Kluyveromyces lactis: one gene and its partners. The protein of the gene in region 2 purifies or fractionates together with the protein of the main gene of each other region. This does not show direct contact. Links are inferred from orthologs where the notes say so. Each region holds a gene or a part of one and is shown on either strand. Other genes may lie near its edges.

Region 1 (2,292 bases), on a different chromosome or scaffold from region 2:
GTCTATCACGTCGTCATCGTCAACATCCTGTGCGGTGCGTGTCATAACCGGGTCCACATTCCTCCTCATATTACCAGCACCACCGCGACCCGTAGAGTAAATTGGCGATAGTATATTGGGGGTCTGGGAACCCTGTGTCACAACCTTCGGTGAAGGTTTCTCGTTCGACGTTATCATGTTTCCTGCGCCTCCTCTTCCAGTACTTACTCTATATTCACCCATGCCGATATATTGAATAATCTCCCAAAGATACTTTCTTTATTATTGCGTTGCCAAACAACTATTCCAGATTAGGTCCACTTGTCACGAGCCTATATCACAATGGTTAGATTGGACCAACAACTATTAAATGGATGCACATTTTATGTTTTCAATACTGACATGTATATATAAAAAAGGTTCGGATCGAGAGTTGATCATTAATTGTGTGTTGGTCAAGGAATCGATGATAAGGGACCGAAGGTCGTATGGGATGATGAGGAGCCTGGTGCATGAGTGACGCCAGAAAAAGTAACTATTTAATTTTGAGAAATAGGTATCAAAAATAAATTAATTTTGGAGCGTCATAATGGGCAGAACAGGATATGAATACGTCAATTGGGTACCATTAAAAGGGAAGTGATCATTAACATGTTATATGGTGCCAGTGGAACTCTGGATAGACAAAAAATCGTGGTCTATAGCAGGGTATTTTCGTTCTACATGCAATATGATGGTTTGACGTAGCAGTCTTTGCGGCAGAAGGGAGGGACGGAGGAAGGAAGACCACTGCCCCGGGTAACAGCTCCCAAAAGACCCAAAAATCGAAATTTAATGCCACCCATAAGCATCTTGACAAGAATTTGTAACGAGGACAATCAATAAACACTTGCTTTCAGCAGCTCTACCCTAACCGAGATCAATTATCAATCAACAATGTCCTGGGACGACGAAGATTTTGCAGTGCCAAGTGGCTCCAAAGAGAAGCCAGTGTTGAATTCATGGGATGATGAGTTCGCTGAAAACGACGATGAGCCGGTACTAGAGTCCTGGGAGGACGAGGAGACTGCTAAACCTAAGCCTAAGGCAGCAGCAGCAGCTGCAGCCAAGGCTCCAAAGAAAGCCTCTCCATCACCAGCTGCTACACCAGCTGCTACAAAGAACACCATGCTCGATATCGATACTCTTGACGACAAGACCCGTAAAGAACTATTGAGAAAGGCTGAACTGGAATCTGATTTGAACAACGCTGCAGACCTTTTCGGCGGTCTTGGCGTCGCAGAAGAACATCCAAGAGCCCGCGCCGAACGTGAAAGAGAACAGCTTGCAGCTGTCGCCCAACCTGCTGCGTTGACCAAGGATACCCCAATCCAATCGCACCCATTGTTCTCGGATTTGGAAACCAAAAAAGATTACCAAGAATTAAGGAAAGCGTTGGCTACCGCAATCACCTCGACAAGCAACAAATCCTTGTTGAACTACTCTGGTGGACTAGCCATCGACTTGATCAGAGACATTTCCAAACCAATGACCGTCGAAAACATCAGACAAACCATTGCGACATTGAACGTATTGATGAAGGATAAAGAAAGAGAAGAAAGACAAGCTCGTTTGGCCAAAGTCAAGGGAGGCACCGCCACAGGCGGTGCCGGTAAGAAGAAGGCCAAGGCTACTAGGGCTAACCTCGGCGGTGCCTTCAAGAAGGATAACGATTTCGACCTAGGTGGTAACGATAACTTTGACGATTTCGGAGAAGACGATTTCATGTAATAGAAAAAAAAAACAGATCTCATCACATATCATCATCACATATCATATATAGAACGTAAACAATTGAACTGTTAATATTGCCCAAGTCTTGTTCGCTAGCCCGGTCGCTCTTTCTCTCTCTCATCTACCGAATCTGAGAGCGCTCTTGACTCTCCACTGGCCCAGTGCTGCCTCAAACCAGTACAACAAGATCCGATCCACGCTACATCCCACGCTACGAAGTGAAAAATCATCATGGAAATCCGGCAACAAAGAAAAGCCAGAGAAGACCAGAGGAGAGCAAGCCGGATATGTATCAAAACAAGGGTGGATGAACCAAGTCGTGGAGTCGACGGTATATGATTGTTCCTATTCCGCGTTTGAACTGTTTTTTTTTTTCTCAGCTATGAACTTGTACTTATATATATATATATATATATATGTATAATCGAACGCCGTCTGTATTCCGCATATCAATATACTATATAATAAGGTAACAACTTGGTAGAGAAACTTGGTAACTTAGCAGCTGTTTTGTGTACTTGTTATCGCAAAGTGCAAGAA
Region 2 (3,600 bases):
AATTTCTCCGGTGCTGAAATTGAGGGTTTGGTGAAGAGTGCTAGTTCTTTTGCAATCAACAAGACTGTAAATATCGGAAAAGGGGCAACCAAACTAAAAACCAAAGACATTGCAAACATGAAGGTGACTAGACAAGATTTCTTGAATGCGTTAGATGAAGTGACTCCTGCGTTTGGTGTTAGTGAAGAAGATTTGAAGACTTGCGTAGAAGGTGGAGTCTTTAGGTTCTCCAACTCCGTAGACGACATTTTGAAAAACGGTGCTAGATACGTCCGTCAAGTGAGAGAGTCAGACAAATCAAGACTAGTATCCTTACTAGTGCATGGTCCTCCAGGTTCAGGAAAAACTGCCTTAGCTGCCGCCATTGCATTGAAGTCTGAGTTCCCATTTGTTAGATTAATTTCCCCTGAAGAAATAGCAGGTATGTCGGAAACGGCCAAGATCGCATACATCGACAATACCTTCAGAGATGCTTACAAATCGCCACTTAACATTCTAGTTATCGATTCGATAGAGACTCTAGTTGACTGGGTTCCAATTGGTCCAAGGTTCTCTAATAATATCCTACAAGTACTCAAGGTCTATTTGAAAAGAAAACCTCCAAATAATCGTCGTTTGCTTATCATCTCTACTACGTCCGCTTACACGGTGCTTAAGCAAATGGATATACTAAGTTGTTTCGACAACGAAATTGCTGTCCCAAACGTATCAAACCTAGATGAACTGAATAACATTATGACAGATTCCGGATTTCTTGACGATGCTGGTAGAGTCGAAGTTATCCGCAAATTATCCCAAGTTACATCTACTCTCAACGTCGGCGTGAAAAAAGTACTCACAAACATTGAAACAGCAAGACACGATGAGGATCCCGTCAATGAACTTGTTGATCTAATGGTGCAATCATCTTGAATTATACTATTCATTTCTAATATGATACATTTATATATATATATATATTATACATATGTGATATGTACTCGCGACATAGCACATAAACTTCAACTTCGTTCTCAATGATATCAACTTTTGATGAAGGTTGAAATTTTTCAGCATGCTTCCGTTGAAGATCAAAGAGAATAAGTGAAAAAAAACTTTTCAGTCTATTTATGTGAAACTTCTTCCTATTGCACCTTGCAAAATAAAGATATATACTTGGATCTAGTCTCTGATTTAGAAAGGGTAGATAACAACCGTTCTCGACCCATCGATTATACTAGCATTTCATCATGGCTCCACCGGCTTTACGTCCTGAGAATGCCATTAGAAGAGCTGACGAATTAGTCTCTGTTGGCGAGCCAATGGCTGCGTTGCAATCTCTATTTGATTTATTATCTTCAAGAAGGTCTCGTTTTGCTGATGCTGCCACTTTGGAACCTATAATCTTCAAGTTCTTGGAACTTGGTGTTGAATTGAGGAAGGGTAAAATGATCAAGGAAGGTTTATACCAATACAAGAAGCATATGCAACACACTCCCGAAGGTTTGATTTCTGTAGGTGCTGTTGCTCGTAAATTCATCGATTTGATCGAAACTAAGATGACCAACATCCAAGCGCAAACTGATGCCAAAGAAGAATCCAACAAGGACCAAGCCGAAGAGGATCTAGAGGGTGGTGTCACCCCAGAAAATTTGTTGGTTTCTGTTTACGAACAAGAACAAACTGTTGGTGGATTCAACAATGATGATGTTTCAGCTTGGTTGAGATTTACCTGGGAATCTTACCGTACCACTCTAGATTTCTTGAGAAATAATTCTCAATTGGAAATCACGTATGCGGGTGTTGTTAACAGAACCATGCAATTCTGTTACAAATATAACCGTAAGAATGAATTCAAGCGTTTAGCTGAAATGTTACGTCAACATTTGGATGCCGCAAACTACCAACAACAGAGATATGGTCACCACACTGTCGATTTATCAGATCCTGACACTTTGCAACGTTATTCTGACCAACGTTTCCAACAAGTTAACGTTTCTGTTAAATTGGAATTATGGCATGAAGCTTTCAGATCCATTGAAGATGTTCATCATTTGATGCGTCTCTCGAAGCGTGCTCCAAAGCCCTCTGTGTTGGCCAACTACTACGAAAATTTGGCCAAGATCTTCTTTGTCTCTGGTAACTATTTATTGCACGCTGCTGCATGGGAAAAATTCTACAATTTGTACTTGAAGAATCCAAATGCTTCCGAAGAAGACTTTAAGTTCTATTCATCTCAATTTGTCTTGTCCGCTTTGGCAATTCAATTGGATGACTTACCAATTGCTGGTTTCGATCCTCAAATTCGTCTATGTGACTTACTAGACCTTGAAAGTAAACCAAAGAGAAAGGATTTGATTACTGCTGCTGGTGAACAACAAGTCGTAGAGAAAGCTGACGCTGATATTTTGAAATTCTTCAATATATTGGAAACTAATTTCGATGTGAAGTCTGCTAAGTCTCAATTGTCTGCACTTTTGCCAAACTTGGTTGAAAAGCCATATTTCGCCCAATACGTGGCTCCATTGAGAAACCTATTCATCAGAAGATCCATCATTGAAGTCTCAAAGGCTCAAACATCTATTCACTTAGTTGAATTGCATGAAATGTTGTCACTGCCAGCTCCTTTCGAATTATCTGTTTTTGAACTAGAAAAATACTTAATCCAAGCTGCTATGGATGATTATGTTAGTATTTCCATTGACCATGAAACTGATACCGTTTCATTTGCCCAAGATCCATTTGACGCTTGGCAAGCATCTCTTGTTGAAGTTCCCGAATCTAGCACTTCTGATGAAGCAAAGAACTCTGAATCCGAAGAGGAAACCTCCCAAGAAACGCATGCTGATGAGGAACAGAATGAACAAGTCTTCACTCGTAACTCAGAAGTCCGTTCTAAGTTGACTGATCTATCCAAGATCTTAAAGGCCAACGAAGAATACGAAAATGGTTCTTACTATTACAGAGTCAAACTTGTGCGTGAAGAATTGATCAGAAGAAAGGAAGAAGTTATCAAGTTAGAAAAGGAAGCTGCTGAAATTAGAGCTAAGAGTAACGCTGAACGCAAGAAGAGAAGCGAAGAAGAAAACAAGATTCTTGCCAAGAAGGCTCTAGAAGAAAGGCAAAGACGTATGGCTGAGGAAAAGGCTGCTGTTGAATCTTCTATGGAGAAAGAAGCGGAACGTCGTGCTGAAGAAATGATGGAACGTGAGAGAGAAGCGATCCATGAACAAGAAATGAAGAAGTTGATTGCTGAAACTAATGCCAATGGTGTCATTCATATTGATCCAAAGGAAGCCAAGAACCTAACAAGTGATAAGATCAACCAAATGGTCATTGAACAAGTAGCCAAGAACAAGAAGGATTTGACTGAACGTATGACCTATGCCTTCAAGAAGTTAGATCACCTGGAAAGAGCCTATAGACAAATGGAATTGCCATTGTTAGAAAAGGACGCTGAAGAGCAAAAAAAGAGGGATAGAGAGAATTACGACAATTTCAAGAAGAAGTTAATTGAGACTTCCAAGGCCGACTATGAAAAGAAATTGGCTCTACATCAACGTTTGAACAAAATCTACAGTACTTTCAACCAATACAAGTCATCTGTTATCGCTGAAAAGA
Region 3 (2,587 bases), on a different chromosome or scaffold from region 2:
ACTATCCCAGTGGTCGAATTTCACAAGATTGGATTGCTATACATGGGACCCAATGACACAACTGAAAAGGATATATTGTCACACTCTATGGAGGATGGATCCCATCAATACAAATGGTTTGTTAACGAACTCGGATCAATAATAAAACTTGATCAAAATGAAACTTTTTACATCGGCGGTTTGAATCCTGGTACAGATGGAGAGTACGCGTTGATCTGGCATGATCAAAAATGTCAAATCGTGTTCCATACTGTATCCCTAATGCCTAACGACGACAAAGCAGATCCAGATCGAACAATGAAAAAAAGACACGTTGGTAATAACTTTATCAACATATATTACGATGAACGAAAACAGGACTCGTTCCCGTTTGACATAATCAAAAGTCAATTCAATTTCATAAACCTTGTCATCAAACCAATGTGGAACGGCAAAGATGAAAAAGACTCTGTGAGTGAATTCTATAAGGTGAAGATTTACAGAGCAAAAGAAGTTCCTGGTATATTCTCTACATCCCACTTCAAAATCATGCATAGGCAGCGCCTCGCAGCGTATGTCAGGCATTTATGTACTGTCGCAAACACATTCGCACAAATTTGGCACGAGTCCGTATCGTCAGAACACTGTTCTACATGGTCTCGCAGATTCGCACACATCAAAACAATCAAAACGAGGCTAAAAAATCAATCTTCTGGCGCTTCTTAGCACGATCGCATCTAGTATGGGTTACTGGTAGTTAGTATCTCTGCAGCTTAATACCTGAGGGCCATTAGTAGTAAGTAATGAAACTTAATTATAATAGTTAGGTCACGTGTAGTACATCACTCTTAACGAGCAGATCTAAAAATTTTTCGAAACTGTGATGCGAAGTATCAAAAAATTGAAAAGATTGATCATTGGAAAGCATATACAATATTGAAGCAACAAAGCAATTTCAATATCGGTATACAAAGGTTTCCAATTAAGCTTCGAACTTACGCGAGCAGTCTCTGATACCGAGGAATTTAATTTATCTGTATCTTGCGATAGATAACGATTACAAACAGAGTATACTTTCTTTGAGTTTGTGGTATATCTTCCAATTGAAAAATTACACAAGAATTTATCATCAGAGCCATTAGATATACAGAGCAGGATGTCCACTTCCAATTGTAGGTTTTACGAGAACAAGTTCCCTGAAGTTGATGATGTTGTGATGGTAAACGTCCAACAAATCGCTGAAATGGGTGCTTACGTTAGATTATTGGAATATGACAACATTGAAGGTATGGTTTTGTTATCTGAATTGTCAAGAAGACGTATTAGATCTATCCAAAAGTTGATTCGTGTTGGTAAGAATGAAGTTGTCGTTGTATTAAGAGTGGATAAGGAGAAGGGTTATATTGATTTGTCTAAGCGTCGTGTTTCTGCAGAAGATGTCATCAAATGTGAAGAAAGATACCAAAAGTCCAAGGCCGTACATTCCATCTTGAGACAATGTGCTGAGAAATACCAAGTATCATTGGAAGATTTGTACAAAGCTTATGCATGGCCTTTAAGTCGAAAGTACGGTCATGCTTACGATGCCTACAAGATGTCCATTGTGGACCCTAACGTTTGGGATGGTATTGAATCTATCAGCGACGAAATTTTCCAAGAATTGAAGGGCCAAATCACCAGAAGATTGACCCCACAAGCGGTCAAGATCAGAGCAGATGTCGAGGTTTCATGTTTCAGTTACGAGGGTATTGATGCTATCAAAGAAGCCCTAAAATCTGCTGAAGAGTTGTCCACTGAACAAATGCAAATCAAAGTCAAATTGGTGGCTGCCCCATTGTACGTCATCACCACCCAATCTTTGGACAAAGATCAAGGTGTTCAACTATTGGAAACTGCTATCGCAAAGATCGAAGAAGTCATTCTAAAGTACAATGGTGTCTGTAATGTCACAATGGCTCCAAAGGCTGTCACCGCCACTGAAGATGCTGAATTACAAGCACTATTAGAATCCAAGGAATTAGAAGGTAGATCAGATTCCGAAGATGAAGACTCCGATTACGAATAGATGGTTTAAAGTGAAACCAAAAAAAAAGGAATTAAAAAGATATACTTCTACTGCTTCCTGTTGTTATACGTGTATACAGCGTTTCGATACCTATAAGTCTTTGCATGTCCTCTCTCCATTTCTTACTTCACTTAACATTGCATTATATTTACTGATGAAGATGAAACAAAAACAAAAGGCCATTTTCTAACAGATGTTCAGGTAATAAACCTATGTTTCCACTTGACTGTGCAGAGAACTACTCTAGCATTTGAACAGGTGGTATCTGCCAATTACTGTCAGCCTTTCCATTCGATTACGACTGGACGTTTTAAAGGATTTTTACATTAGGAAACTCCCATTTTCCTTTTTTCTAGTTTCTTCTTATAATAATAAAGGGAAGCTCCATAAATCCTTATTTTGAAAAAAGAGTGAAAAGTCTTTAAAGTACAACGAAACGAAACTTCTATGTAGTAACATTAGCACATCGGGTATTTCATTTAAACGTGTATAATAAACTAATTCGAACGTCAACGTAATTTGCATTTATTCACAGCCTAGTTG

The links. The genes of interacting proteins can lie anywhere in the genome.
Region 1: the proteins of RPG1 (region 2) and HCR1 purify together in Saccharomyces cerevisiae (affinity purification with mass spectrometry; 8 studies listed by BioGRID, with this or other methods). This does not show direct contact. The link is inferred for Kluyveromyces lactis from reciprocal best matches to the Saccharomyces cerevisiae genes RPG1 and HCR1.
Region 3: the proteins of RPG1 (region 2) and SUI2 purify together in Saccharomyces cerevisiae (affinity purification with mass spectrometry, with the first as the bait; 4 studies listed by BioGRID). This does not show direct contact. The link is inferred for Kluyveromyces lactis from reciprocal best matches to the Saccharomyces cerevisiae genes RPG1 and SUI2.

What each region holds. Positions count from the first base shown.
Region 1 is NC_006041.1:1,750,556-1,752,847, forward strand, and holds HCR1 (translation initiation factor eIF3 core subunit j), read left to right. Parts: upstream 1-915; coding exon 916-1,749; downstream 1,750-2,292. Other genes in the region: PAR32 (Par32p), read right to left, coding at 1-222. UniProt on the Saccharomyces cerevisiae protein: Component of the eukaryotic translation initiation factor 3 (eIF-3) complex, which is involved in protein synthesis of a specialized repertoire of mRNAs and, together with other initiation factors, stimulates binding of mRNA and methionyl-tRNAi to the 40S ribosome.
Region 2 is NC_006039.1:1,266,817-1,270,416, reverse strand, and holds the start of RPG1 (translation initiation factor eIF3 core subunit a), read left to right. Parts: upstream 1-1,229; coding exon 1,230-3,600. Other genes in the region: AAA family ATPase SEC18, read left to right, coding at 1-912.
Region 3 is NC_006037.1:1,020,391-1,022,977, forward strand, and holds SUI2 (translation initiation factor eIF2 subunit alpha), read left to right. Parts: upstream 1-1,135; coding exon 1,136-2,044; downstream 2,045-2,587. Other genes in the region: KLLA0_A11792g (uncharacterized protein), read left to right, coding at 1-705. UniProt on the Saccharomyces cerevisiae protein: eIF-2 functions in the early steps of protein synthesis by forming a ternary complex with GTP and initiator tRNA. This complex binds to a 40S ribosomal subunit, followed by mRNA binding to form a 43S pre-initiation complex.